Linked DNA regions of Macaca fascicularis. The protein of the gene in region 1 purifies or fractionates together with the protein of each later gene. This does not show direct contact. Links are inferred from orthologs where the notes say so. Each region holds a gene or a part of one and is shown in the gene's direction. Other genes may lie near its edges. The genes, in order: RNF7, RAB40B, CUL1, RAB40C, ASB6, TULP4 and ASB1.

What was found.
Region 2: the proteins of RNF7 (region 1) and RAB40B purify together in Homo sapiens (affinity purification with mass spectrometry; 3 studies listed by BioGRID and IntAct, with this or other methods). This does not show direct contact. The link is inferred for Macaca fascicularis from reciprocal best matches to the Homo sapiens genes RNF7 and RAB40B.
Region 3: the proteins of RNF7 (region 1) and CUL1 purify together in Homo sapiens (affinity purification with western blotting; 5 studies listed by BioGRID). This does not show direct contact. The link is inferred for Macaca fascicularis from reciprocal best matches to the Homo sapiens genes RNF7 and CUL1.
Region 4: the proteins of RNF7 (region 1) and RAB40C purify together in Homo sapiens (co-immunoprecipitation; 4 studies listed by BioGRID and IntAct, with this or other methods). This does not show direct contact. The link is inferred for Macaca fascicularis from reciprocal best matches to the Homo sapiens genes RNF7 and RAB40C.
Region 5: the proteins of RNF7 (region 1) and ASB6 purify together in Homo sapiens (co-immunoprecipitation; 4 studies listed by BioGRID and IntAct, counting the BioPlex papers as one, with this or other methods). This does not show direct contact. The link is inferred for Macaca fascicularis from reciprocal best matches to the Homo sapiens genes RNF7 and ASB6.
Region 6: the proteins of RNF7 (region 1) and TULP4 purify together in Homo sapiens (co-immunoprecipitation; 3 studies listed by BioGRID and IntAct, with this or other methods). This does not show direct contact. The link is inferred for Macaca fascicularis from reciprocal best matches to the Homo sapiens genes RNF7 and TULP4.
Region 7: the proteins of RNF7 (region 1) and ASB1 purify together in Homo sapiens (co-immunoprecipitation; 3 studies listed by BioGRID and IntAct, with this or other methods). This does not show direct contact. The link is inferred for Macaca fascicularis from reciprocal best matches to the Homo sapiens genes RNF7 and ASB1.

The regions. Positions count from the first base shown.
Region 1 is NC_088376.1:44,567,004-44,571,264, forward strand, and holds the start of RNF7 (RING-box protein 2), read left to right. Parts: upstream 1-1,461; 5' UTR 1,462-1,484; coding exon 1,485-1,659; intron 1,660-4,261. UniProt on the Homo sapiens protein: Catalytic component of multiple cullin-5-RING E3 ubiquitin-protein ligase complexes (ECS complexes), which mediate the ubiquitination and subsequent proteasomal degradation of target proteins.
Region 2 is NC_088390.1:89,129,968-89,134,161, reverse strand, and holds the start of RAB40B (ras-related protein Rab-40B), read left to right. Parts: upstream 1-1,394; 5' UTR 1,395-1,463; coding exon 1,464-1,605; intron 1,606-4,194. UniProt on the Homo sapiens protein: RAB40B small GTPase acts as substrate-recognition components of the ECS(RAB40B) E3 ubiquitin ligase complex which mediates the ubiquitination of target proteins.
Region 3 is NC_088377.1:190,350,529-190,354,728, forward strand, and holds the start of CUL1 (cullin-1), read left to right. Parts: upstream 1-1,400; 5' UTR 1,401-1,524; exon of another isoform or gene 1,525-1,661; coding exon of another isoform or gene 1,662-2,888; exon of another isoform or gene 2,889-3,391; intron 3,392-4,200. Other genes in the region: uncharacterized protein, read right to left, coding at 1,662-2,888. UniProt on the Homo sapiens protein: Core component of multiple cullin-RING-based SCF (SKP1-CUL1-F-box protein) E3 ubiquitin-protein ligase complexes, which mediate the ubiquitination of proteins involved in cell cycle progression, signal transduction and transcription.
Region 4 is NC_088394.1:1,340,285-1,344,289, forward strand, and holds the start of RAB40C (ras-related protein Rab-40C), read left to right. Parts: upstream 1-1,205; 5' UTR 1,206-1,792; intron 1,793-1,914; exon of another isoform or gene 1,915-1,944; intron 1,945-2,086; 5' UTR 2,087-2,117; coding exon 2,118-2,259; intron 2,260-4,005. UniProt on the Homo sapiens protein: RAB40C small GTPase acts as substrate-recognition component of the ECS(RAB40C) E3 ubiquitin ligase complex which mediates the ubiquitination and subsequent proteasomal degradation of target proteins.
Region 5 is NC_088389.1:14,276,215-14,280,458, forward strand, and holds the start of ASB6 (ankyrin repeat and SOCS box protein 6), read left to right. Parts: upstream 1-1,444; 5' UTR 1,445-1,596; coding exon 1,597-1,709; intron 1,710-2,861; coding exon 2,862-3,043; intron 3,044-4,079; coding exon 4,080-4,186; intron 4,187-4,244. UniProt on the Homo sapiens protein: Probable substrate-recognition component of a SCF-like ECS (Elongin-Cullin-SOCS-box protein) E3 ubiquitin-protein ligase complex which mediates the ubiquitination and subsequent proteasomal degradation of target proteins.
Region 6 is NC_088378.1:66,836,665-66,840,164, forward strand, and holds part of TULP4 (tubby-related protein 4), read left to right. Parts: intron 1-631; coding exon 632-775; intron 776-3,500. UniProt on the Homo sapiens protein: May be a substrate-recognition component of a SCF-like ECS (Elongin-Cullin-SOCS-box protein) E3 ubiquitin ligase complex which mediates the ubiquitination and subsequent proteasomal degradation of target proteins.
Region 7 is NC_088386.1:134,345,128-134,349,278, forward strand, and holds the start of ASB1 (ankyrin repeat and SOCS box protein 1), read left to right. Parts: upstream 1-1,351; 5' UTR 1,352-1,442; coding exon 1,443-1,491; intron 1,492-4,151. UniProt on the Homo sapiens protein: Probable substrate-recognition component of a SCF-like ECS (Elongin-Cullin-SOCS-box protein) E3 ligase complex which mediates the ubiquitination and subsequent proteasomal degradation of target proteins.

The DNA.
Region 1 (4,261 bases):
CACAGCCCTTAACACACCACTCAACAAATACACATTTCCATCTAACCGAATGTGACCCTGCGTCCATATTTATGTTTCTATAGATTAATGCATTCTTGTTTCCCCTGCCAGGTTCCATTGGCCTGGTTACCTTTTGCCCAGGTATCAGGAGATGAGGGGATGGCGAGAGGCTCAGAATCCAAACTTGACAGAGTAGGTGTCCACCACTAGGTGACGGTGGGATCAGGCATCTCCTTAGGCTGTCTGTGCTTCTGCTTTCTTTTCAGTGGAGATGCCTGCTTTCTTGGAAACACATGTGATGGTGGGCTAGCAGTAGAAGCACTACTGTAATAACAATGTGATCTTTGTCATTTCACTTCTTCGGACCTCATTAGTCCTACATATAAAAAGAGGAAGTTAAACTAGCTCAAATGTACTGAGCAGAAGGAATGGAGACTCTGCAGATGAGGAAGCAGGGCCTGAAAAATACGTGTGGGTTGTGTCGCCACACACCGGGACTCCTGGGATCCTGACCTCTTTTAGGGGTCAAAAGAGGGCAAACTAGTTGCCTAACAATATTTAGAGCTATTTCTCTCTTTTCACTCTCATTCTACGAGTGTACACGGGAGTTTCTAGAAATTACATGGTATGTGAAGTTATCCCTCTAATGATAACCTCTAATGAGGTTATTACTGTGATTTTTAATGAATACATTTAAAAATATGTTTTAATTTCTTAAAAAGAAACATTAATCTCTATGTACGTGTGTATACATATACAGGAAATGTATGAATATTCATTATACATGAATGTACATATATTCATTGTATATATGTATATATATTCATACATATGTGTGTGTGTATATATATATTTATACATTTCCTACATAAATAAAAGCTCTTTAAGGGACTAATAATTTTTAAGTGAAAAGGAGTCCTGAGACCAAAAAGTCTGAGAATCACTGAGCCAGATTTCTAGATCTTTAAGATCATTAATTCACTCAAGAAATAATTGTGCCTCTTGTGGCCAGGCATTTTGTAGATACCGAGGACAATGTGGTGATAAGAACATGTTCCCTGCTCTGATAGAGTTTTACACTTGGGAGGGAAGAGACAAACAAGTAAATTAACAAGATTATTTCTGAGAGCAGTAGTTTTAATGAAGCCATAAAGCAGGACACACATTCCAGCACAATCTGTGCGCCTGCTCAGACGTAACACCCCGCAGCGCCGCAGGCGGATTCGGCAGCGTAGCCCCGAGCAGCCCCAAGCCCGCTCGGTCGCCCCAGGAGGGCGGGGGCGGGGCCTGCCTGCCCCCTCGCCGCTGGCGTCCGGTGACGTCACTGGGCCGCGCCAGCCAATCGTGGGTGGCCGGGGTCTGGGCACCACGGTGGCCTGCGGCCTGCGGGCGGCGCTGTGGCCCGTCGGGCGGCCCGGCAGAGCCGCCCTAGCCTCCCGCCTACCCCAAGCCAACGTCTCCGCCGTCGGCTCCGCGGCGCCGCCATGGCCGACGTGGAAGACGGAGAGGAAACCTGCGCCCTGGCGTCTCACTCCGGGAGCTCAGGCTCCAAGTCGGGAGGCGACAAGATGTTCTCCCTCAAGAAGTGGAACGCGGTGGCCATGTGGAGCTGGGACGTTGAGTGCGATACGTGCGCCATCTGCAGGGTCCAGGTGATGGGTAAGCGCTGCACGCAAGGCCGGGGCCGCGCTGCGGCCTCCGGGAGCCGACTTCGGGATTGGGACGGGACGGGCGCCCGCCAGAAGCCTTGGAAAGTCCCCTGCCTTGGGGAGTGGGTGGAGGTCGCCCTGCCCGGGCGCCGGAGGAACGCGGAGCCACGATCCTGTTGCGGCTCCTGAGGGCTGAGGGGTTGTGCAACAGGCGCCCGGCGCCGGGTGGTTGGTGTTCTAGGGAGAGAAATGGGCAATAAACGGAGGTAAACAAGGTAATTTCAGGTAGTGATGGGTGTGACCAGGAAAATAAAACCGGGTGATTGTTGGGAACTAGCAGGAAACACTTCGGTTTGTGTGGCCAGCCCCTGTTCTAAAAGCTCATCGCAAGGTGGACAGAGTAAAGGCCGTGATTCAGCAGTGAACTTTAATAGTCTTGGTCACCATCAAAGTGATGCTCCGGAGTCATCTTCCACAAAACGACACCCTTAGTTCTCCTCGAGGTACACAGGGAAGTGTTCACAGCCATTGCATTTCCGGATTAGCTTACCGCCGCTCTTCGAATGGCTTTTAAATCTGGATTGATCTAAGACGGGTCAGATAGCACTAGCGTGGCTTGAAGGGGACAGTGTGGTTCAAGAATATCTAAGTTTCATGGAAGCCGAAGAATTGTAAGCCCTTTTTTCAGAAATGTAGAACTTCACCTCCATTACACCCCCCTCTCCATATCGGATGTCATTTCCTGGAGAAGATACTGCCCTGCTCTGAGTCATGCCTTTGTGGAGAACCCTCTTACAAATATGTCCTCTTTCTGTGATATTTGGAGTTAAAATATTAGACCAAGCAAAATGTTTCAGAACAGCTTAATCTTGTTATATTTTATATGGTTCTAAGATCTCAGACCACTTTGAAAAGCAAGTGCTGTTTAAATGCAAGTTGTATTTTCAGATAGGGCATTTAAAATTACTGTGAGAGCATCTTCAGTGGAGTTCTTTATTGAGGGTAGTTAAAGAAAACAGACATTTCTGTAGGTTGAAAACTGACTTGTCTTGAAAAATGAGAGAATTGGAGAACATAAAGAGAATTGCTGTCCTTGAGGGGGGATGAGACTTTAAACCTACCAGAATCAAGAGATTTCTCAATTTATGCTCTTTTGTCTTTTATTCTAAGGGCTTGTTTCAAAGAGGATTTACAACAATTGGATTCAGATATTTTTACCTTTTACTTTTGAAAGACCTTGTTATTAGACATGACCCACTTATTTTATATGGATCACTTGAGCCCAAGAGTTTGAGACCTGCCTAGGCAACATCGCAAGACCCTATCTCTACAATTAAAAATTAAAATAAAGTGACCAGGCATGGTGGCCTCCAGCTACTCAGGAGGCTGAGGTGGGAGGATCCCTTGAGCCCAGGAGGTCGAGGCTACAGTGAGCCTTTTTCCTGCCACTGCCACGATACTCTAGCTTGGGTGACAGAATGAGACCCTGTCTCAAAAACAAACAAACAAAACATATTAGGCTTTAAAAGTATCTAGTTTATTTGCCAGCAGTACAGCTGCCCCTACCCTCACTTAGGAATCATAGTTTCCAGTTTGGGAAGCATTTTTTAACTGATCCAAGAGACTTTTTTTTTTTTTTTTTGCAATACAAGTTTTGCTAAACATTTTATCTCCTAAATAAATTTCCTTTAGTTTAAAGGAAACTAAACTTTCACTTAGTTCCTTTTCAGTTTAAAAATAATGTTCCCAAAGGGTATTTTCAAAAGATTTCTCTCCCAAAAAGCTATTTCCTCCCCGAAGGAAAAACATTTAAGCAGTAAGTGGAAATGTATAACCTGAAATAATGATTGAAACTTTGCAACAAATAAACTTTACTGAGATATTTTAATGTAGGTCAAAGTATAGGCTATAAATGACACATTTCATCATAAACTTTCTAATTATAGCAAGTATTCTGCTACTACAGGATCAGTCTTGCATATTTGCAAACAGCTGTACTTTGGGTTCAGGAAAGTATTCTAGGCTAGACCTTTGTATTTTGTTTATGAGGTGTTAAAACCCACTTAGAGGTCAGGTGACAGCAGAAGGAAATTTTTTTTTCCAGACTTCCTAGTCTTTACCCTAGCACCCTTCTAAAAGGTGTTATTGTACTCCTTAGAAATGTGCTGTTTTAGATTCTAGGAAGATCATTAAAGCAAATTTTTATCTTTTATCTGCAACTTTAGGAATTTGTGTAGATTTGGGTCAGTTTTGATAATCTACATTAGAGCTATAAGCGTAATTTAGAGATTCCTAGATTCAGCAACAAGAACCCACTTTGTTCCCTTTCCTTAGTATTTGGAATTTATCTCACACTTGTGATTTATTATACTTTCTGCTCCCAAGATTTGCCTGTCAGCCCATTCTGATATGGGTAACACTCTCATCTTCGTTTCCACTATCCTCCCTTCATTCAGAAAAGAGTGATGATTGCATAGTGAGCAAAGTGCTGATGAAAAGCGTTGAATAGGTTTGCTAGTAGAGCCAGTTATAATAGCCAGGGTAACCCTTCATGACTGTATCACCTTAGATATTTCACGTAACTTTTGGGAGCCTTATTTTCCTAATTTGTA
Region 2 (4,194 bases), on another chromosome or scaffold:
AAGACTCTGTCTCAAAAAAAAAAAAAAAAAAAAAAGGTGACTGCATTAGTAACTAAAGCAACTAATCAATCAATGAAGAAGAACAGGTGATGCAAACTAAATTGGCATTCCGAAGTAAACATTTTCCAGGTCCAAATGAGTACAAATGACAAATATAATAATCTTGACTTCAGTCTCTTTTGTAATTCTTCTTCTGCTCCTTCTTCTGTTCCTCCCCCCAAAAAACTTCTGATGGGGTCTAGAGCAGTTCCCTACACAACGCAGGGTGGAGGGGATGAAGTGGGGGAGGCATTATCCTTCTTGTTGGACGGAGTTCGCCGCTTGCCTGCTGCCTGAATTTTGCACCAAATAAACCAGTGTGCACCTGGTGAGACCCTCAGAGCGAAGGGCAGGCCTCGCCCTGGCACCCCTTGCTCTTGAGAGCAGAAGAGAAGCCTAAAGGCTGGAGGGGTCCCACCCCATCTTCTCCAGCACACACACAAACACATGCATGGATGCACAAACAAGCAAGTGCACACACACATAGGAGCACATGCATAGACAGAAGCAGCACACGCAGACACACACATGCAAAGATGCCTGCAAAGGCACACATGCACATACATGTGCAGACCTGCAGAGGCACACGTGCACACGCAGACACATACATGTGCAGACACCTGCAGAGGCACACATGCACACGCAGATATGCACACACACGAACACATGCGTACGTACACAGGCGCATGTGCACACACAGGCATTCAGGCACGCCGCGTAAATGGGGCAAGGACGAGGCCCTGGATGAACTGTGGGGAGAGACCGCGAGCCTGGATTCTACGGCGACAGGGACTCTTGCGGCGAGGCGGCCTGCGGGGGGCCTTCCGGCCGCGTCCGCGAACTGGACCGACCCCCTAAGCCCCACCCGGCCCGGCACCGGAGGTCTCCCTGGTGGGCAGGTGGGGAGGCCCCACGCCGGGACCCAGCACGGCCCCACGCCCCGCCCGACCCGGGGCGTGCAGACCCGACGGCGTGGGAGCGAGTTCGCGGCGCTGACAGGCGCACGCGAGAGTGTAAACACTCGGCCCCACCCCCTACTCGCCCCCGCCCCGCCTCGCCATTGGCTGCGGGAGCAGAGTCCCCGCCTCCTGTTTGTTCTGGCTCCGCCCCTGCTCCGTCTCCGGGCCTCCATTGGCTGCGGCGACAGCGTCCTTCCAGGAGGGGCGGTTGGGCTTCAGCCCGGAGGCGGCGACGAGAGTAAGATGGACGGACAACCACACCAATGAAAATGCGCAGCCGCCCTAGCAACTGCGGTCCACCAATGGCGGGGCCGGGCGGGGCTGCGCGCTGTCAGCGCTGGGCGGCGGGGCGGGGCCGGCTGCAAGCAAGGACTCGGGGCCCGCGCGGCGCCTCTCGGGGCCCGGCCGCCGCCTCTGCGCGCAGCCCCGCAGGCCGGGCATGGGTTGGGGCGCCGGGCCGGCACGATGAGCGCGCTGGGCAGCCCGGTCCGGGCCTACGACTTCCTGCTCAAGTTCCTGCTGGTGGGCGACAGCGACGTGGGCAAGGGCGAGATCCTGGCGAGCCTGCAGGACGGCGCGGCCGAGTCCCCGTACGGCCACCCGGCGGGTGAGCGCGGGCGGAGGGCGCGCCTGGGTGCGGGCGTGGGTCCGGGGAGGGGCGCGGGGCTGGAAGGGGGTGCGGGTGGGAGTCCGGGTTCGGAGGCACGAGGCCGGGGAGGGGTCGGGAAGAGGCGGGGGCGCGGGCCCGGGGAGGGTGGGAGTCCGGGTCCGGGGGCGCGCGGCTGAGGAGGAGCGCGGTTCGCCTTTCTCCGCCCGGCCTGGCCCTCGTGCGGCGGCGTCCCTGTTACACCCGGCACCGTCCCTGTTACACCCGGCACCCCCGTTCCGCTCGAGGCCCCCGCGGCGCAGTCTCCATCCTTCTCCGCAGTCTGCGCGCAGCGGGAGCCCGCGGCTGGGCCGGTCGCTGTGCCCCTCCCGACCTGGGGCCGCCTCCGCGGGGACCCGGGGAGGACTCGGGTCCGCACGTGCGCGTTCGGCCGCGGGGGCGGGAGGGGCGGGAGGGGACGCGAGCTCCGGGGCGCCTGGGGCGGAGCGCGGCGAGCAGGCTCCCAGGTGTTGGGTCTGCGCGTGGATCGGAGGGGAGGGGAGACCAGGGTCCGGTCCCGAGGCCAGGGGTCCCGCGTGTCCGGGGGAGAGGAAGGAGCGCAGGTGACTCGCGTGCGGAAGAGGGGACCCCCCACGACAGCGGCCGGAGAGGGGGTTCCAGGGCGAGGGGAGGCCGCAGCGCACAGAGCTCCCAGGCAGACAGCCCGGGGATCCCCGAAGTTTGAGGCTTGAAAGCCGGCGCCCGGCGAGGGGGTGGACGGCTCCGGGGAAAGAAAGGCGGAGGCAGGAACCAGGAGAAGGGGGAATGCGCAGAGGCGGACACCTCGGCCGGGAGTGAGGAGCAGGCGGGGCCTTCACCCACCCGCGTCCCTGGAACCGCGCGGACGAGGCCGACCCTGCGGCTGTGGACGGAGCCCCGCTGTGCCCACCTGCCTGCCACGCCTCGGGGCTGAACCCACACTTCCAACAGAGACCCCCCCCCTGGGTCCTAGGCGGAGGAGGGGAGCCGAGGCTTGGAGATGGAGTCTTGGTGGGAAGGCCCTGTCAGCTCTGGGGCCTGGGAAGGGTCCTGCCAGAGACGAGCTTTGCCAGAGCGGGTGGGAGGAAGCGGGATCTGAGGCTGCAGAGTAGAGGGTGCAGGCCGTCTCCTACGGGCAGCTCCAGGCAGGCTGCATGAGGACCAAGGGAGGGGAGCGTGGCACGGCTGGAGGGGGTGGCCTGAGACTGTGGAACGTGGGGTGAGACTCAGGTGCCCGGCCACGCCTCAGCTTAGGGAAGGGGGTGAGGAGTTTGGGGGAGCAGCTGGGATGGGCTTGGGCTCACGACCAGCACCCAGAGGCTTCCTTAAACTGCAGCACGCCGGGGAGTCTCTCGCAGCCGACAGGTGCAGAGTGTGCTCCGTGGGGCAGGAGGGGAGTCTGCGTCTTTACCTGTCCCCACCCCACTCCCCGCTCAGCGGCAGGTCTCTAGGACCGTGGTGTCCAGTCACATGCCATGAGCCACGTGTGGCTGTGGAAGTGTCATTATAAGGAAACAAAACAAAAAGCTTCCATTAGTCACATTTCTAGATAGTTCGGATGTCGCTGTGGCAAAGTCTGGGGGCCAGCGCTGCCCTGGAGATTGAGCGCCTGGAGGACGGGGCTTTGTCTGCACGGTGCCCTCGGGGTCTGGGCTCAGTGAGGGATGAACCCTACCAGAGCTAGAGGAATAGAGCACCCGACAACGTGTAGCCCAGACGAATGTGGCCCTGTAAGAGCTGTGCGTGTTTTGGGGGAGCAGACGGTTGACGGTGTTGAGTTTGATTGAAGGTGAGTGCCATGGGGCATGCGTGAGGAGAGCCACGCACAGAATGTTTGTGAAACTTCCTTCTGGTTGGTTTGAACGACGGCTCAGGGATGCTTCTGCTGCATGACTTTTGGTTGCTACATGCTGAACTGAAGACGACCCAAAACAACGGACCAATGCTTTCTCCTAAATGCTTTCCCTTGACAGGGAGAGAGGGTTTAGGCTAAAAATACAACCTCCCACCGGGCCGGGTGCGGTGGCTCACACCTGTAATCCCAGCACTTTGGGAGGCCAAGGCGGGCGGATCACCTGAGGTCAGGAGTTTGAGACCAGCCTGACCAACATGGAGAAACCCCCGTCTATACTAAAAATACAAAATTAGCCGAGCATGGTGTCACATGCCTGTAATCCCAGCTACTCGGGAGGCTGAGGCAGGAGAATCGCTTGAACCTAGGAGGCAGAAGTTGCAGTGAGCCGAGATCGCACCATTGCACTCCAGCCTGGGCAACAGAGCGAAACTCTATCTAAAAAAAAAAAAAAAAAAGACGCCTCCCACCAAAAGCTTTGTTGTCAACCTGGCCTGAGCTGCTGTAGAAAAAACTGCTATCGTGGGTGTACCCTTGCAGGTTTTTTATTTACCAAACATTTGTTTTAGGGTTAAGAAAAGTTACTCTGAAAAATAGTAAGAAGTTGAGATCATTATGATTTGTTTTTAATTTTTTCAGAGACAGGGTCTTCTCTGCTGCCTGGGCTGAAGGCAGTGGTGAGGATTGCAGATCACTGCAGCCTTGACCTCCCTGGGATC
Region 3 (4,200 bases), on another chromosome or scaffold:
GGGACATCAGTTTTGCTGAGCTGGGGGAGAAAGATGGAGGAAGGATGTTTTAAAGTAGAAAACAGCAGCAGGTGGCCTTGACCTGTGAGGTAGGAGACAAGGTTATCTGCGCAAAGTAAATGCAATCTGGATGTTAAGTGGACATAAAAGTCGATGGAATAAATTTGCTGCTAAAAATGATCATGTAGGCAGGTGGAGAGTAAAGAATAGAAAGGAGTTAAGAACCAGGAATGGAGGCAGTGAGAAGAGGGAGGGTGGTGTGGATGGACCAAATACTGCTATTAAGGAAAAATAGAGGGTGGAGGAAACAAACAATAAAGGGAAGGTTGACCCACTCAGCCCTTCTATTCAGCTGGAGGAAGTCACAGAAAAGGAGGCCATATTGAATGGTAAGATTGGAGAAGACTGGTTAGGGAATAGGAAGCTTAAGTTGTCTAAAAAACGCAGTTTCCAGTAAAAGGAAGAAATTGGGACTTTTTTTTTTTTTTAAAAACCCACATATGTACACTGGAAAACATGGGCCACAGGGATAAACCTTCCATTTTTACTTCCAACTTTACCATGTGCTCACAAAAAAAAAAAAAAGCGTTAAATACATCTAAGTTTTGACGAGGTTATTCAAAAGTGTAGGATGTAAACCAAGAATTGTTCACACCCCAACATCCCGCACAAATTAAGGGATTACATACCTGAGTGACAAGTACATACAAATGCATTACTTCTAGAGAGACTGAGATGTGGATAAAAGACCACATTTCAATAGAGGGGATCACATACACCAGTGGGATGTTTCTTCAGAGACAAACCCACGTTACGCAGGAAACAGTGTGGACTCTGGCGACGGCCCTCTGCTCTGGCTGAGGATTTCTGTCCCAGAGTGGTACAGGAATCTGTGTAGTGTTTTCGTTTGGAGAAAACAGGAAGTTACACTCATTACATCTTTTGCCCAGATGATAGAGTTCGAAATCCCCCCGGGGTTGTTCATGGAATGAGCCGCTCTGTTATGCTGTGAGCCGTGGTATTAATAAGCCACCCCTCACTAGATGTGGGGGTTCCACAACGCTTCCTCCACCCGTCACCACAGCAGCGGATAGGCTTTAGGTTGAATATTCCAAATAGCCAATTATGACAGTTAATTTCAAATGAGATGACTTCGAACTACACGTGAAAACAATACTACTTTATATCACGACTCATGCCATCCGTGTATGTAATCAAAGCCTTCTAAGTCTTGATTTGTCCTTACAAAGACGAAGGATAGAGTGAATGTCAAAATTTGCCAAACAGGAGTTAGTGAAAGTCTGAAAGGGAAAGCCTAGTTAGGTTTAATCTTATAAGTGATTTTTAAAAAGAGACACGCAGATAAGCTCGAGCTTTCTGGAGCCGATTCCTAAGGCCTTGCAGGTGTTAAGGGGATCGAGAATTGGCTGCAGGTTCCTCGGAAGTCTGCGCCGATTCGGAGGGCCACCTGGCCACCTCTGACTTTCTGATCTAGGGTGCATCCCCCAGTCCCGGTCGACAAAGGTGGGGAGTCAGGTTCGAGGCCAGCTGGGGGGGGCGGTGTGCGCACAGGGGAGGAGCGGGGGGACTGGGACCCCCTCTCCTTCGGGGTGCTTCAGGCCGTTTCTCCAGAGGCTGGTGGTGTCCCCGACCCAAGCAGCTCAGCCCCGCTCGCGAGGTCCGAAGTGGCGGGAAGGGGTCCTCCGCGGCGGCCCCAAGGCGAGGGAGGCTGTAAAACCTGGCGGAGAATCCGGTGCCCCGGGTCGGGGATGGCTCGGGTGTCCGGGGCAGGGGCCGCGGGCTCGCAGGTAGAAGCTCCCCACGCTAGCGGGGGCCTCGGCCGCGGAAGGGGCGCCCCCGGGGCCGCCGGCATCGGCGGGCGGGCGGGAGCTTTCCGGGCCCCTCCCGCGCCTCGGGCTGGCGGGGCGATGGCGACGACGGTTTCTCGGCTCCCCCGCCCCGGACGCCGATGGCGGTGCGTTCCGGCCCTCCCCCAACAGCTTCTCCCCCGCGGTCGCCGGAGCCGGTGAGGCCGAAGAGGGCGGGGAGCCGCGGAGGGAAGGCGAGAGGGCGGAGGTTGCGTGGTGCAGGCGGCGGCGGCGGGAGGAGGAGGGCCGGGCGGGCAGGGGAGGAGGAGGAGGCGGGCGCCGTGTCGCACGCAGCTCCAGGCGGGGCAGCCCCGGTGGCTGAGGGACGCAGCCAGACCTTGGCGGGACGGGGCTTTCGCCGGGGCCCAGGCCCAGCGACCAGGCGGAGGCGTCGCGGGAGCCTTTGGGGCACCACAGGGATGCGGGTGAGTGTCGGCAGCCGCCGGGGCCGAGAAGAGGTGGCGGCGGCGGCGCAGGCCCGGCCCCGAGCCGCGGTGTCGCAGTGACTTGGGCCGCGGCGGCCGAGCCCAGGCGCCTGGCGAGGCCTGAGCAGCCGAAACGCGGCCGGGCGGAATGGCGGCCGGGCCGGGGGACTCGTGGGCAGAGGACGCCGAGGGCGGCAGGAGAGCGAGCGGGGCCGGGCCCTGAGTCACCCCGGACGGGCCGGGGCGGCCAGGCCTGGACTACGCACTGGGAAAAAGCCCGATTCATCGCGCCTGGAGGCGGCGGCCTGGTGGCGCCGGCACCTTTCCCCGCCGCGACCGGGCTGGGCCCTCGGAAGCTGGGCCGACGTGTGGCACGGGGCAGCTCGGACGTCCGCGCCTCGCCTCGTGAGGCGACCTCCGCGGGACGCCGGGACCCGTGCCCTTGCCCCCTCGCGCCCACGCTTCTCCCCAGCGCTGCTTTCCGGCCGACGCGTGCTCCCCTGTGAGCCCTGGGCTCGCGCGCAGGAGCAGCCGCCGAGCCGGGCTCTCTCGCTTTCCGGTTCCCTGCCGCGGCTCTCGGGTTCCCTGCCTGCATTGTTGCGAACGTGCAGGGCGCTATTATTGGGTAACAGTCGCCCTTTTGCCCCGTTCTCCTGGGGCTATGGGCCGGGGCATGCGCGCAGGGATGCGAGCCCGGCGGCCGAACCGGACAGAGCCCCCCGGCGCCCGCCTAGCGCTCGCGAGTCGGGCCGGGCCCTGCGCCGCGGCGTCGGCGCGCCCCCGGCCGCAACGGGAGCGCGCGCCCTGACCCTGAGGGTAAACGTGTGCCCGCCAGGCTGCTGGGACTTGGGGTCCTCAGACTCGGGGGTCGTGCGCTTTTTTCCCCCCAAGATCTGAAAGACCTCTGTTTCTGCCGCCCGTGCAATATTGTGTAGAGCAGACATAAGATAATTAAGAGAGAGAGGAATGCTTGTAGACATTCCTTGAAATGAATCCCCAAAGTTAAGGTTTTCTCTCTGCCTAGCTTTGCCAAAAAGAGGATTCTCTTTTCCGATTGGGTCACTCTTGGTTGCTTCTGGTTCGTAGTAGGGGTTAGTGGTAAGTGCGCAAATACTGAATTGCAGTCTACTTAAATATTTATTTGCCCAGTGTAATTGCTCTTTCTTGTAGTAGCATTAAAATCGTCAAAAGTTCTGAGTGGAGTAAACGATCACACTTTTTGGAATGCACTTAACGAAGCGGCAGAAGAGGAACTAGATTCCTTTTTTACTTCAAGCCTTGAGCTTCTAGGACCTAAGCATATCTTAACGCCTCGCAGAAGTGTGTGCAGTTTTAGGTTGAACACTTCATTTCATGGTGCACACGAAAATGTACCCGATTTTCTGAAATCTTGTAGAGTGTATTATGTAGTAAAATATGTAATGATGTTTAAAATGTAAAACCAGTTATTGTGTTTGGAAAAAATATTTGGAGGTGAGATTTTTCTTTGTTTAAAGAAGGTTTTTGGATATTGAAAAATGTTTTACTTGAAGGTTCTATTTGTTGTTTTCTATGGTGAGTCGAAATAGTTGCGCTGCATTTCAAATTCCAAAGCATGCAAACGTAAGACTGGCTCGCTTTAACTCTATTATGCCCATTTTTGGAGGTTTCAGGAGAGTGTTCCTTAAGCTTGAGAGGGATGGCTGAATTGCTTTCTAAATACGTTAAACTTCTTTTCTCATTGACTTATCTTTTAAAAACGGTTTTGTCAAAAAAACAAACTAACTTTAGATATGCTAGGTTTTTCACCAATTTATGAAAGCCTCCCTCCCTGAGAGCCACATGCTCAGGTCCTTATAGGCAGCCCCACCCCCCACTCCTAATGTGTGTACCACATCAGAAGACAGACACGCATGCCTGAGCTGATT
Region 4 (4,005 bases), on another chromosome or scaffold:
CTGCACTGCAGCCTGGACGACAGAGGGGGGCCCTGTTTCAAAAACGAAAAAACTGGCCGGGCGCGGTGGCTCACGCCTGTAATCCCAGCACTTTGGGAGGCCGAGGCGGGCGGATCATGAGGTCAGGAGATGGAGACCATCCTGGCTAACAAGGTGAAACCCCATCTCTACTAAAAAATACAAAAAACTAGCCGGGCGCGGTTGCGGGCGCCTGTAGTCTCAGCTACTCGGGAGGCTGAGGCAGGAGAATGGCGTGAACCCGGGAGGCGGAGCTTGCAGTGAGCGGAGATCGCGCCACCGCACTCCAGCCTGGGCGACAGAGCGAGACTCCATCCCAAAAAAAAAAAAGAAAAAACTGGTGTGTCCATGTGGTCGCCGCTTAGTCAAGGCCGTGTCTTCAGCTCTAGGGGGACGGGAGGTCACTGGAAGTGTGGGGCCGCCCGTCCTGGCGTCCCTCTGTGTGAACAGCACCTGCTCCCGGAGGCACAACCCGGGTCGGGGTCCCTCGGGAGGAGGGTTCTTGCCGGGCTCTGCTCCTCGCCGGCCGGGCAGAAGAGACAGGCTCCGCACCCGGTCTGGAGAGGGCTGCGCTGGGTCGACGCTGACGTTACTGCTTTTACTTACTACTGTAACAGCGTTACTGAGCGCAGAGCACGTATCACAAAGCTCACCCGTTGCGAGAGTCACTGACGTTTAGTAACTTCACCGAGAACGGAAGGACCATCCCCACGACTGTAGGACCTTTTCGTCACCCCAGAAAGAACCACGTGCCCACTCAACCCCTGACCCCACGCCGGGGCCCGCGAACGCGGCAGCTTCGCTCGCCCACGCACCTGCGACTGCCGGGCCCTGCTGGGACCAGCGCTCGGCGGCGCCCCCGGGAAGAGTGCGGTCCGGGCCCTGGGTCCCCGTCCAGGAGGCGCCGCTGCAGCGGTGAGCACGTCAGGCCGGGTCTTGAGCTCGCGCAGGCCGCGCTCCCCGCGTCCCGAGCTGCGGCGGCCGCGTCCCCGGGCGGAAGGCTCAAGTTCGGTGACGCCGCGGGGTCCCAGAACCTCAGCGCCTTCGCAGACTCAGTGGTGACCCAAGGGTCCGCCCCGCCGCCGCCGGACGGAAGTCCCGCCCCCGCCCCGTAAAGGAAGTTCCGCCCCGCCGAGCGCCGATTGGCCGCACGGCCTTGGGGAGGACACGCCCAGGACCACCCCACCGCCTCCGCCGAGGTTTCTGCGGTAGCAGGCGGCGCAGCCTGCGAGGGGCTTACGTTTCCCAGACTCAGCTGCCTCGCCTCGGCCCGAGCGCGCCTGCATCCTGCCGCCTGTCGGCGCGTTGAAGGGGCTGCTACAACCTGGACTTCCGAGCCCCTGATTGGCGAGCGTGCAGGAAAGGGGCGGGGTTAGCAGAGCCGTGATGGACGTGCAAGCGGCCCAATGGCGCCGGCCGGCGAGGGGGCGGGCGAGGACAACAGCGTTGGGGACCGGGGGCGGGGCGGCCGGTGGCTCTGGGATTTCTCTGGGAGGCAGCCGCAGGGAAGGGAATGATCCTGGTGAACTTGTAATCGAATCAATGGTTACGGGAAAGCAGGAGGCGAGTGGCCAATGGCGACGGCGATGAGGCCGGCGTCCGCTGTCTCCGCAACGCCGTGTGGGAAAGGGAGGGGCGTTCATGACAGACGGGAGGACAGGCCAATGGCTGAGGGAAAGAGAACGGCGGGCGACCTATGGTGACGACGGGAAGGCAGGGCGGGGCGTGGAAGAGGCGGTGCGACAGGAGGCCTGGCGGCGCCGTGTAGGACGCGGTAAGGGCGGGGAAACCGTGACGGACGGGAGGATGGGCCAATGGGTTTGGGAGGGCGGGCGAAGGGTGGCCAATGGCGGCGGCGCGGCCGGGGGCGAGGCAGCGCGGCGGCGCTGGCGGTGCGGGAAGCGGCGGGGCGGCGGCGAGGCTGAGGTGCGCCCGGGCGACGGGCGGGGCGGGGCCGGCGCGGGGCTTCGGGCGCGCCCACTCGGCCGCCCTGGGGCAGACGCAACGGGCGCAGGTGCGGGGCGCGGGCTCTGTCACGCCGCGGCCTCACCCGGCGGTGCCTCGGCAGGCGGCCGGCGCGGGGCGCGGGCTGCGCGGCCATGGGCTCGCAGGGCAGCCCGGTGAAGAGCTACGACTACCTGCTCAAGTTCCTGCTGGTGGGCGACAGCGACGTGGGCAAGGGCGAGATCCTGGAGAGCCTGCAGGACGGCGCGGCCGAGTCCCCGTACGCCTACAGTAACGGTAAGGCCCAGCCCGCGGCGCGCGCTGCTTACGCGGGGCCCGAACCCGGCGAGCTGGGCGCGGAGCTCGCCCTCGGCCCGACCCTTCCAAGCGCCGCCGAACGTGCCCAGGAACGCCTTTGCCTGGCTTCCAGACCCGGTGGCTCGGCGGCTTCGGGGTTCCCGGGCTCCAGTCCCGAGGTGACGCCGGGGAGCAGGAGGACGGACCAGAGGGGCGCGCCCAGCGGGGACGGTGCCATGGACCCGGGGTCTGGGGGACGGTGTCACAGGTCCAGGATCTCAGGGGAAGGTGTCATGGATCCTGGAGAAGGTGTCATGGGCCTGGGATCATCTGGGGTCCGAAGGAAGGTGTCGTGGGCCTGAGGGAAGGTGTCATGAGTGCAGGATCTGGGGTCTGAGAGAAGGTGTCATGGGTCCAGGATCTGGGGTCTGGGGAAAGGTGTCACGGGCCCAGTAGAAGGCGTCATGGGCCAAAGGGAAGGTGTGTTGGGTCTAGGATCATCTGGGGTCCGAGGGAAGGTGTAATAGATCTGGGGGAAGGCATCATGGGTCTAAGGGAAGGTGTCATGGGTCTTGGATTATCTGGAGTCCGAGGGAAGGTGTCAGGGACCCAGGTCTGGTGGCAGGTGCTGGTGGACTCTTCTTGGGACCCTGTCTCGAGCATGCACAGATGACAGGTCGTTATAGGCAGACTGTTCCCCTGAGGTATTTACTTACAGCTGAGGGAGTCAACACTTTGTGCTGGAAGAAAATACCTCTGTAATGAGTTACTGAGTATTTTTCTTTTTTTATTTTTTATTTTTATTTTTTGAGATGGAGTCTCACTCTGTCGCCAGATTGGAGTGCAATGGCACAATCTCGGCTCACTGCAATCTCCACCTCCTGGGTTCAAGCGATTCCCCTGCCTCAGCCTCCTGAGTAGCTGGGACTGCAGGTGCGCGCCACCACGCCCGGCTAATTTTTTGTGTGTATTTTAGTAGAGACGGGGTTTCAGCATGTTGGCCAGGATGGTCTTGATCTCCTGATCTCATGATCTGCCCGCCTCGGCCTCCCAAAGTGCCGGGATTACAGACGTGAGCCACCGCGCCCGGCCTGAACGTTTGTTTTTAACTTCCAGTTGCATGGCTAAAATACACAAGATAGAGCGCGTCTCTGGGGCTTGCCTGCCTGAGCGTGCCTCTTAATTTAGGTATTCAACATAGCAAAGTGGTTAACAGGGTCAGTGAGACGGCGTGGTCCTCATCACCCCTCATGGGGGCCTGGACTGAATGGGATGTTTCCCCAGAAGACCTGGGTGGCCCCGGATGAACTGGGAGCAGTCAGCATCCAGCCTCCCCAGAGTCCATCTGCGCTTCAGGGAATGCCATCTACACTGGCCAACTTACCTCTCCTGGTCCCTGCCCTCTCCCCTTGCTTTGTTTCTTGGCTCTTGTCTGTCCTGTCTGGCTGCCCTGAGCGTCTGCTGTTTGCTGAGTCGCCTGCCCTTGGCTGCTGAGAGTGTGGGCACAGCATCCCCCACTTTCTCACTCAGGGGTTGGCAGAGTGTGGGGTTACCTGGACTGACGCTGAGCGCGCTTCCTTCTGGCACGGCTTCAGCAGTGGGCAGCAGCACCAGGGGCTCTGGAAGCTTGTGCTCTTGGCCTCAGCCTGGAGGAGGGGTTGAAAAGGGCCAGGGAGGAAGAGCTCTGGGTCCATTTTTAGGTGGGGGGAAGTGTAAGGCCCACCAGGGGCATTGGGGGCTCACACG
Region 5 (4,244 bases), on another chromosome or scaffold:
TAGAGACAGGGTTTCACAGTGTTAGCCAGGATGGTCTCGATCTCCTGACCTCGTGATCTACCCGCCTCGGCCTCCCAAAGTGCTGGGATTACAGGCGTGAGCCACCGCGCTCGGCCCGGAGTTTTATTCTTATCACCCAGGCTGGAGTGCAATGGTGCGATCTCCACTCACTGCAACCTCCGCCTCCTAGGTTCAAGCGATTCTCCTGCCTCAGCCTCCCAAGTAGCTGGGATTACAGGTGCCCGCCACCATGCCCGGCTAATTTTTGTATTTTTAGTAGAGACAGGGTTTCATCATACTGGCCAGGCTGGTCTGCAGCTTCGAACTCCTGACTTCAGGTGATCCGCCTGCCTCAGCCTCCCAAAGTGCTGGGGATTATACCCATTTTACAGATGAGGAAATCCAAGTTCAGAGCCAGGCAGTAGCACACTCCTGTGTTCCCAGCTTCTCAGGAGGCTGAGGTGGGAGGATCACCTGAGCCCAGGAGTTCGAAGCTGCGGTGAGTTGTGATCACTACACTCCAGCCTGGGAGACAGAGTGAGACCCTGTCTCTAAAAAATACACATGATTCGGGCCGGGCGGCTGGCCTGTAATCCTAGCACTTTGGGAGGCCGAGGTGGGCAGATCACGAGGTCAGGAGTTTGAGACCAGCCTGGCCAATATGGTGAAACTCTGTTTCTACTAAAAATACAAAAATTAGCCGGGCGTGGTGGCCGGCACCTGTAGTCCCAGCTACTCGGGAGGTTGAGGTAGGAGAATCACTTGAACCCAGGAGGCGGAGGTTGCAGTGAGCCAAGATCACGCCACTGCACTCCAGCCTGGGCGACAGAGCGAGACTACGTCTCGAAAAAAATAAAATTAAATTAAAAAATACACAAGATTCATTGAGTCCATCAAGGCAGAGGTGGAGAGAGCTGGCAGCTGTCCTGGCCAGGTGCTCCCTGGGACAGATAATAAGAAACTGAGGAGGGGACGTGCGAGGACCCTGGTCCTCATCATTCCAGTCAGCGGGCTGGGTGGTGACAGAGGTGGCCCAGCCCCTCTTCAGGGAAGGCGAGGGCCAGGCCGAGCCGGAAGGGGCAGTTGTCTGATGAGCTCAGCGCTCAGGGGCGCCCAGCGCAAGTGGGGCAGCGGCTGAGCTGGGGAGCACGACCGGCGGAACTCGGATGGCGCCCAGCGGTCGCGGGCAGGATCGCAGGGCGAAGCCGAGCCGGGCCCAGCCCTGGCAGGGAGGGGCAGGCCCGCCTGAGTCTCGGATCTGGCGGGCTCGATCCCCCACTCCCCCACTCCGCTGGGGCCGCCTACTGGACATCGCCCCAGTCGGCCTGGCAGTCGTGCCCTGGGACGCGCCGAGGTCCTCCGAGCCCGCAGGGGGCGCTGTCGCCATGCGGGCCACCCTCAGTCGGCGCGGGCAGGAAGTACGAGGGTCACTTCCGGCGGGGGCGCGGCTTGGGCTGAGGAGCGGACCCGGCCGGGCGCAAGGGCTGGTCCAAGGGAGCAGGTGGGTTCCGCGGCCGCCGGAGCGCTCCGGTCGGCGTCTGGGCATCTCGGCCTCGGCGGAAAGCGCGACCGCCCTGCTGCGCGGGGCCTGCGGCGATGCCGTTCCTGCACGGCTTCCGGAGGATCATCTTCGAGTACCAGCCGCTGGTGGATGCGATTCTGGGCTCCCTGGGGATCCAGGACCCCGAGCGGCAGGAGTCTCTGGACCGGTAAGTCGCCCCCTCCCGTGAGCTGGCCGAGGCCGCTCCGACCCTGCGGCGTCCCACTTTATCACCACAAGCCGGGCGGGGTGGATGCGTCCCCCTTGACAGAGGAAGGGACGGGCGGAAGCCGGGGTTGCGTGGCTCCGAGCTCGCGCTGCCCCGCGCGGATCGCACTCCCGCCCCTTGCATGGCGGAGGCGAAGGGCAGGGAGGGCCCGAGGGCGGAGGCTCGCGGGGTGTCGCAGGGCCTGCGCCTCGGCCCCACCCTGTCGCCTGCCTGTGCTGTGCCACCCCCCGGCGTGGCAGGGGAGCAGGGTGGAATCCGTGAGGCCTCAGATGTTACCCCAGAGCAGTGTGAAGGTGGGCTTTTGTAGCAGAGTTTGCGTTTTTATAGACAAGAGCTGGTCTGTCGTGGACCTGCAGGAAAGGTGTCGGGAGCGAATCCGCATTCACTGCCCATGGTACTAGGCGCCTGGGGTCCATCACTGGCTCAGCAAAATCCCCGCCTTGGCGCGTGTGCTCCAGAGGAGAGACTGACAAGTAATTGTGCGGCGGCACGCGAGGTGGAAGGGAGGAGAGAGCACAGGGAAGGGGCTCAGGTGTTTGCGGGGGTTGTCAGTTGGAATTTACAACGCGTGGTGATGAGTCGTCTCCCCATCCAGGGACTCGGGTGGAAACGTAGGCTTTCTTCATCATTTCAGCTAAAGGCCTCCATGTGAGAGGAGCGGGGAGGCTGTGTTGCTGTCCTGGCTGCAGGGGTTGCGGGGGCTGGGGTCCTACAGCTTTGAGGGTGAAGGGCTTTCTGAGGAAGGAGCATCAAAGTCGGGCTTGGGCTCTTGGCCTCCAGGGTTCCCTTCAGTCCCAGCAGCCCAGGTGTGTGAGGCTTTGTACCCAAGTCTGCGACCAAACTCTGGGCAACGCGGGAGGAGAGCGCAGACAGACCCAGCCCATTCTCCGCAAATCCGAGTCTGCTCCCGTCTTAAGAGATGCAGCCTGGCCCTCTCTCTAGTTCAGAGGTTCTGCCAAGCCTCTGTGACCCACAGAGCCAGGGCCCTGCTTGCGGATGATTCTAGCAGGACACTAAGGCCCACCAACCCACAGGCTGCCCGATCAGCCGGTCCCACAGCTGTGCCTACCCTCAGCCTCTCTTCTGCCCCAGGCCCAGTTATGTCGCCAGCGAGGAGAACCGAATCCTTGTTCTCACTGAGCTGCTGGAGAGGAAAGCCCACTCTCCTTTTTACCAGGAAGGTGTGAGCAACGCCCTGCTCAAGATGGCTGAGCTGGGGCTGACCCAGGCGGCCGACGTTCTCTTGCGGCATGGGGCCAATCTCAACTTTGAAGGTCAGCGAGAGCCCCGGGGGTGGGCAGGCGACTTAAACGTGGCTCTGCGCCGGGTGGGCGTCCATGTCCCCAGCCTTGGCTTTTACCATCCTCTGAGGAGTGACTTCCCCCCGCTTTATTTCCTGGGTGGCTGTGACTAAGGAATCTCCCATTGGGTGGCCTCCCAAATCCTGCGGGTTTTCACATGGCTCTCCCCACCTCTGTTCCAAGGGCGGGCGAGTGTTGCTGCTTCTACCATGTGATTGATTAGCAAACTTTCCCCAGCTCCCAGAGTAATCCCCACTTCCATTAATGCGAAAATGCAGCTACTGGCATTGTGCCCAGAGCTAAGGGAAGGTAATTTTCTGCCACTTACTCTGAGCCAATTTGTGTTTTTTTCCTCATGCCATAGGGAGAGGGGAAAACAGGCCGCATTAGGCATAAATCACCACAGAACACGCTGGCTTCCAGCTTCTGAGTGCGAGGGATGGAGATGGAGCCATGCTCCTTTCTCTCTGTTTTTCACCCCAGGGAGGGCAGGGTTAGTAGGGGGACAGGCAGGGCTGCCTTGTGACCTAATGGGGGCCTGAGACAGCCAGGCATGTCTCCTTTCCCCATCCAAAGACAGGCTTGGAGGCTGCTGGGCTCCTGGAGCCCAAGGAGCTGAGACGGGAGGGCCAGTTCTGAAGCCAGTGACTTGGAGACCAGCTTGGAGAACGTGGCTGTTACCACCAGGCCTACAGAGCGGAGCAGCCATGGAGGTGCTGTGTAGTGCGGCCTCCCAGCCATTCTGAGAGTGCGCGCCCCATTTTATGGTCCCTTCTTACAGAAGAGGAAATTAAAGCCCCAACAGCTTCAGTAGTGTGCCCACTAGAACACCCCGAGGGCCCTCTAGTATCTGGTGAGGACAGCTCTGTCCTAACCCTTGATGGTGACAGGAGGCTGGGCCTCTGCTTCTGGACACTTTAGGTGGGAGTTTGGGGCTGGGCTCTGGGTCCAGGGGCCCCATGAGAATACGGATAGGCAGGACCCACACGAGCTGCATCTGTGCCTTCAGATCCAGTCACCTACTACACGGCCTTGCACATCGCCGTCCTGCGGAACCAGCCGGACATGGTGGAGCTGCTGGTGCATCACGGCGCTGACATTAATCGGAGGGACCGGGTAAGTGCCAGGTCCAGCTTGTTTTGAAGCAGCGTTGGGCAGGGGCCTGAGCAGCTTC
Region 6 (3,500 bases), on another chromosome or scaffold:
AATCTGGGCCTTCTCCTAATGTCCCTGTTAATCAAATTAAATCTTGAGGTTTTAAAAAAAACTGTGTGGAAATTCCCTATAAATCTCTATCTTGATGATTAGATTAAAATTGAAAGCCAAGGCTCCAGCTGAAATGAAGGCTGTGTTTTATTCCTATATGAAACCATGCCACCCCCATCTCAACATTGCTTTCACACGGTTCCTGGGTTGCTCAAGCTTCCCTTGTTTGGCACTCTGGTTGTCACAACTATTTCCATTCAATCATCCTTCTGATTGCAAATGAGGTTTTTGAAAAATATGTTTTTATACCCTAGCTCTTTCCAAAAGAAATAATTTATGTCTAAAATGTTTTTGACATTTGAAATGTGTAGTTCTGTAGACAATCCACTGGCAAGGAGGCCAAGCTAGACCAGGAATCTGCTGTTACTGAATCCAGAACCGTGGCTAGTATGGTCGTACTGAGTACTAGGGAGAAATGAAGAGCTCCTCTCTGCCTCTGGACCCTGCCTACACAGATCTGTCTTCTGATGGCAGGGAAACTGCAGTGTGCTCTTCTTCCCGTGACTCTCTTGACACTTTGGCTCTACTCTGGTGTGTCTCTGTTAACTGTGCCCTTCTTTTTCCCCACCAGTAATCTATAAAACCAGCCTCCTGCATCTCCAACCGCGGCAAATGACCATTTATCTCCCAGAAGTTCGGAAAATTTCCATGGACTATATTAATTTACCTGTCTTCAACCCAAATGTTTTCAGTGAAGATGAAGATGATTTACCAGGTGTGTTCACATACATCAACTTGTTTGTCACGGTCCCTCTGTCAGTGGATCGTGCAAAGGGAACAGAGTGGCAAGTTGTTGAGGTTTCAGTCTGCTCCCTAGGTTCAGAAAAGGTATTCCTGCCTCAGTAAGGTTGGTAGATATGATGGCGTGTCCCAGGGGAAAAAGTCACAGGTTGGCACCAGTGTTGGCAGGAGCGGGGCTGCTGGAGCACAGATGGTTACAGTGGCAGTGGTGCCTTGTATTTGTGGAGCACAGCTCTACCATCTGGCTTTATCCTCACAGCTATCCTCTTAGTCATGTGTCTGGATTCAGGTAAGTTTGTGGGACTGATTGGAACTAAATAAAATCAGAACTGAGACCCAGTCTCATTGATCAAGGCCAGCCTTCATCCTTTCAATCCCTGCTGAGATACTGTCTCATTCCAGCATTCCCGTGGTGCCCACAGAGTCTAGTTTCTCAAATCTGCCCTGTGTCCAGGACACAAAAGCCTTTACCTGTAACCACATCTCCTCCACTGCAACCACATGTCTCCGTGCACAGGACCCTGGCCTGAGTTCAAGATAAAATCTGGTATACGATTTTTAAATTCCAGTTTTCAGATGGTAAATATCAATATATATAGCATTTTAAGTTAGTGTGTTTCCTGGCGGGGGGATTCTTAAAGGATCCTATGTTGATTAATGGATTACAGTGACTTCCAGTTAGTCTGGCCAGTTAGTGTGTGTAACTATTTCAGTTGCTAGAGGGTACTTGAAAATAACTTGCTTTTCTAAGTAAAAGACCACCTGAGATTTTATAGATACACAGACTCCTCTACTTCCAACTAAGCAGGGCTCTGGAAGTCTTCATTTTTTGAGCTAGAGGAACCTGGACATGGACCGTGACTTCTCCAGTATCTGGATGTCTGTGACCCGAGGGACTGGTTCTCACAGTGGACATAGAGGGCCACCCATTCCAGCTCGGGCCCTGCTCCTCAGTCGGGCTCTGAACTTGAGGGAATTGTTTACCTTCTCTCAGCCCAGTCTTTTTACCTGAAAAAAATGATTTCTACTGCATTTTCCAACAATAGCCATCTTGCTTCTCTGATGGTGACCTCTCCTGCATGGGTGAGCAAATCTCCTAGGCTTATGTGGTCCTAATAGGCCAAGCTTACAACCACATAAATACCTGTAGTTTGGTGAAGCCTCCCATACCTGAGCTTTCTAGTGCATCCCCTTTTACTTGAGAATCTTGGAATTAGAAGTATCTTTTAAACTTTCCCCTTAACGCTTTCCCTGTTCTCCCAAAATGCACGAATACAGCCCTCTCCAAGGTTCGGCTGTTGCTGCTGTTGTCCTTATTGTCTGTGGTTCCCAATGAGAGGAGGGAACATATTGTCTCAGGGATTACATTTAATGATGGTGACTCAGCGAAGAGGCTCTTCTTCCTTAAAGGGGAAGATGCCTGCCATCAGTGTTTCATACAGACAGGAGAGCTTCTCGAAGGGCATCTGAACAGGAATGACAGGAAACGTGAGACAGACCCAAATTTGTGCGGCCAGGGGAGAGTTATGTCTCACTAGGAGACCCCCAAGGAAGGGCCAGCTTAGCTTCTGATAAACTGGCTGGCTTGATTCTGTAGTTCTTTTGATGAAAAGTCAGCCAGTGTCACATTTCCTAATCATAGACTAGCTGCCACATAGTACTTACACCATGCCTCAGATTTCTGGATCAGTGGCAGTTTTCTCTAAGGGAAATGCCACAGGGTGGCACAGTGGGCCTAGAGGAGCCAGTTGCAGAGTGCTCAGTGTGCACTTTAAACAGGGCCGTGCAGACAGCAGCTCTGAGCACCTGTCTCTAGATCACTGTTCAAACGCGCGCTCTGTTAAACTCTCACTGTGTACAAATAGGATATATTTATAGTGTTTAATTCAGCGTGGTTCTACCTTACATACTGTTTGAAATGCTAAAAAGCAGATAAAGGTCAGGCATAATGGCTCACACCTGTAGTCCCAGCCCTTTGGGAGGCGAGGTGGGTGGATCACCGGAGGTCAGGAGTTGGGGACCAGCCTGGCCAACAAGGCAAAACCCCATCTCTACTAAAAATACAAAAATTAGCTGGGCGTGGTGGTGTACGTCTGTAGTCCCAACTTCTGGGGAGGCTGAGGCAGGAGAATCACTTGAACCCAGGAGGTGGAGGTTGCAGTGAGCCAAAATCATGCCACTGCATGTCTGGGCGACAGAGCAAGACTCTCTAAAAAAAAAAAAAAAATTAGGAAATGATCCATCATGATGTGATACTCAGATTCACTAGAAGATTCTTTTCATTGTTTTTTCTACTACGTTTTACATGGTTCTATTTACAGAAATCTAATATGCATACATTTCTTATACACATCTCTTGCGTGACACTTGCCACACTATCCATCCCGTAAGCATGAATAGACCTAATTCAGAGGCCTAGGCACTGCGAGTCCTCAGTGGAGGTTTTTCCTGTACCATTGCCCTCTTCCTGCATAAAAGGATGGGTGTTTTATGAATATCACCAGTAAAAAGCTTCTTCAGACATTTAATTATCTGTGATGGTGCCATTGAGGCACTGGTGCCAAGTTTAGAAGGTTCAAAAGTGAGCTAGTTGAAAAGTTATAACAGTACCCTTAGCTAACAGACAAGCAGCAGGCTGCCCTCAAGAACCCATCTCACTTGTGTGAGCAGGCCAGCTTTCCCCAAGCAGACACGTCTCT
Region 7 (4,151 bases), on another chromosome or scaffold:
AAGGCTGAGTACCAGTCCACTGTATGGATGGACGGCATTTCCTTTCTAAGGCTGAGTACCAGTCCACTGTATGGATGGACGACGGCATTTCCTCTCTAAGGCTTAGTACCAGTCCACTGTATGGATGGACGGCATTAACTTTCTAAGGCTGAGTACCAGTCCACTGTATGGATGGACGGCATTTCGTTTATCCATTCATCCATCCAACAACACGTGAGTCGGTTTCAGGCTTCAGAGTTGCTGAAGCTCCAAGAGTTTGAGATGTGCGGCTGTGGTGGAGCCAGGGGCTGGGCACACTCCTGGCTCCTGGCCTAGCAGCGTCATCATCGGAGTCACCTGTCCCTCATGCCAGTGGTGCTTTCTGCTGTTAACAAGTCCAAACACCACTGTAGTAAGTACCCCTACTCCTGCCTCCACCCCCCACAGGGCCTGCCATGTCTGCCCCCAGTGGGCCCACCCGGTCTGGGCCACCCAGGGCCAGCTTCAGCGGGGGCACTTGCAGGGCTGCCCCTGCGGCTTCCCTTACTCCCGTCTGGAATGTTGTACACATGGATGGGCCAGCAGCTCACGCCCACGACTGCTGGGGTCTCCGGACTCCCTCATCAGCCTCCTGCTGTGCTGTGTACAAATCCTCCTCCTGCATGAGGCCCCGCTAACACAGCAGGGGAGAATGGGAGGAGCCAAGGGAATCCACGCTGAAGGACCAACACCAATACTCACGGTGGGACGACGCTGCGATATTTGAGGTTGGGAGTGTGCAAGAAATATTACTTGTTCACGAATGCATTCATTTATTCAATGCACTTCGTGTCGGCCACCGGCTGTCATCAGCTACGGACCTGATTGTGGGGCTTCATGGAAGGGATTTGGGGGAGCATTCATCTAAAACCACAGCACGCCATGACGCTCAGCCCTGCGGTGGTCCCTCACCAGTCCCCGCGCCTCCCAATCCACCCTCCCGGGGGCTGCTCGCGGCTAGGGCCCACCTGCGGGGACCCAGCCAGCCCGGCCGAGGCCCGGGTCCCGCCAGCCACGGCCCTCGGGGCCCCGCCCACATCTGGAGAAGCCACGCCCCGTCCGTGGGGTGGGGACTGCCCGCCCGACCGAAATTCCCAGGCTGCTTCCCCAGGCAACGCGCTTTCTGACTCCTTGGCTTCTTATGCGGGGAAACCACAGCGCGGCTGGCATCCTGAGAGTCGATTACTGGCGAAGTCCTAGCCGGACATCAAGACCAGCCAGCACCCGGCTCCGCAGCGAGGCCGGAAGCGGAGGCGCGCCCTCTGCGCGGCCCCGGAAACCAGTGAGGCCGGCGCGCGCCCGCCGGAAGCCGCGACCCCGACGTGGCCCCCTCGCTCTCGGCGCCGGAAGTGGTCGCGGGCCGCTCTCCTTCCTGCCCGAGGGGCGCGCGCGGGCCCGGGGCGGCCGCGGAGGCCGAAGCACCCATGGCGGAGGGCGGCAGCCCAGACGGGCGGGCAGGGCCGGGCTCCGCAGGTAACGTGCGCGCGGCCGCTGGGCCGCGGGGCTTGTGGGGATGGCGGAGGGCTGGCTCCGGCGTCCCTGCCGAGGCCCTGCGTCCTGGTCCCGTCCTGGCCGGGTCCACGGGGGAGCCAGGGAGCCGCGCCCCGCAGGCCGGGGGTGGGGGTCAGCGCGGCTCGCAGTGCTGGGCGACCCCACCACGGACGCGCTGCCCGCTCCTCGGCCTCGAGTGCCGTCCCCGCGCTAGATTTTCGTTCCGGTGGAACTTCCCTCCGGTTAGCCGATATGGATTTGACATGACCCAACCGCAAAAGTAGGACGTGGGCCACCTTCCAGCTCTGAGCGCACGGATCAGGAAAGCCAGCCAGAGGGTAGCCGTAGGGAGGGCAGGCACCTTTTCACCATTCTGCCGCCCATGGCGTGTCTGGTGGCACAGCGGGGCAGCCTTCCCACCTCCCACAGGCACAGACCAGGGACGACGGGGACGCCGTCTCCAGCGAGCTCGTCAGTGACACAGCATGTCCAGGGGCCTTTGGCCCACCAGCAAAGGAGGCAGCCAGAAAGGCCCACACCCACCTTCCGAAATAACTGTCCTACTTAGAGTCTCCACCTTGAAGTGTCCCTACCGTGCAGATGTGAAGGAAGCGGTCAGGACAGGTTCCCCTTTCCCAGTGATGTGGTGGGAGTTCCTTCTTGCCGGATTTCTGAGCTTGCCATTAGCGCCAATAGTTTCATGTGCTCTGGGCTTTCTTTACATGCCTATATTTGTCTTTGGAGGGGTCCCTCTCCTTCTTAGTAATAAACCAATGAATTTCTTAAAAATCTCAAAAGATTGACTTGGAGACTGGTGCAGACAGGCTTTTCCATCCATCCTTCCCTCCCCACCTCCTTCCAATCATTTAACAGACTTGTATTGAAGACCTGCTGTTGGCTAGACCCAGCAGAGAATACTGCAGTGACCAGAACAAGCCAGACAAAGCATCTACCATCCTGGGCTTTGGTTGGCATTGACTTTGACTTCAGAGACAGCCAGGACCTTAGGGTCTAGGATGTCATCTCTTGTGAGAGTGAAAGACGGAATGATAGGTGTTTGTGGGAAAAAGAGGACTAACAGCTACTTCCCAGTATAGAGAGGGGTCCTGGGGAAGAAACACGGGCTTTGTCAGCTGCACAGGACTCCTTTTTTTTGAGTCGGAGTTTCGCTCTTGTTGCCCAGGCTGGAGTGCAGTGGCCTGATCTCGGCTCACTGCAGCCTCCGCCTCCCGGGTTCAAGCGATTGAACTTGAACTGCCTCAGCCTCCCTAGTAGCTGGGATTACAGATGCTGGCCATCATGCCCGGCTAATTTTTGTATTTTAGTAGAGACAGGGTTTCACCATGTTGGCCAGGCTGATCTCGAACTCTAGACCTCAGGTGATCCTCCCGCCTCTGCCTCCCAAAGTGCTGGGATTATAGGCGGCAGCCACCACACTCGGCTGAGGGCTCCTTTTTATGTCCTCATGTACTGCTGTTTTGTTATTCAGTGTGTTTCAGGGCTGGGGTAGAGGGGCAACAGATTTTCAGTTGAAGCTTAAGTGCTCTCTGGGGCAGTTAAGTTGTCCTTGGAGTAGCTGATCAGCAAAACACAAACTTGAAGTTGCTTTTAAATCTGGAGCTGGGGAAAGATTGAGTCTGCTTTGAGCAGGGCCGGGAATGGATAGCACAGAGGCCAGGAGAGGGGGCCCAGAAGAGGGCTCAACAAAAGTCCTGTGGCCGCCATTTACCTGTTGGTTGTTACCCTACACCTGAATCTTTCCCACTCCGACTTTGGACTTTTTCACCCTATAGTAACTGCAACTGTGTAGTAATTACAGGGGAGGATAATTACTGAAGGAAGGTTGGGATGGTGGCCTAAAAAGCTGTTCATGCCTGCTTGTTGATCTGCGGCTGGTCTGGTTGTGGGATCAGCATGAGCAACTCAATGGACTCTCAAACCCCGGAGACCATGGACACTTACTGATCACCCCCATTGTACCTGTGGTTGAGTCTCATGTACAGTAGTACTCAAAAGAGATTTAATTTTAATACAAAAACAATGTCAGCATCTGGAAAGAGCCCCCTTATGGAGGGGGTGCTTTATACCTGCCTGTCTGGTCTCACACTAGGACAGCATGGCAGAGCAGGGACTTGAATCCAAGCAGTCTGAGTTTTTGCTCTTTACTTACACACGAATCTGTGTAACTATTTTTACAAAACTCTTAAATCTTCAGGAGTTTATTTTGGGTTATGATGTGAGTTGAATAACTCAATTATTTCCTAATAAGTATCTAATTGTACAGACGCCATTTGTTGAATACTCTTCCATTCTCGCTGATTGTGATGCCAGTTTATCACATTCAGGCATACCTTGGAGATAGTGCGTGTTCAGTTCCAGAACACTGTAATAAAGTGAACACTGCAATAAACTAAGTCACATGAAATTTTTGGTTTCCCAGTGCATATATAAGTTACGTTTACATGATGATACCATGGTCTTTTAAGAGTGTAATAGGCAGGGCACGGTGGCTCACGCTGTAATCCCAGCACTTTGGGAGGCCGAGGTGGGCGGATCACAAGGTCAGGAGATTGAGACCATCCTGGCTAACATGGTGAAACTGCGTCTCTACTAAAAATACACACACAAAAAATTACCCGGGT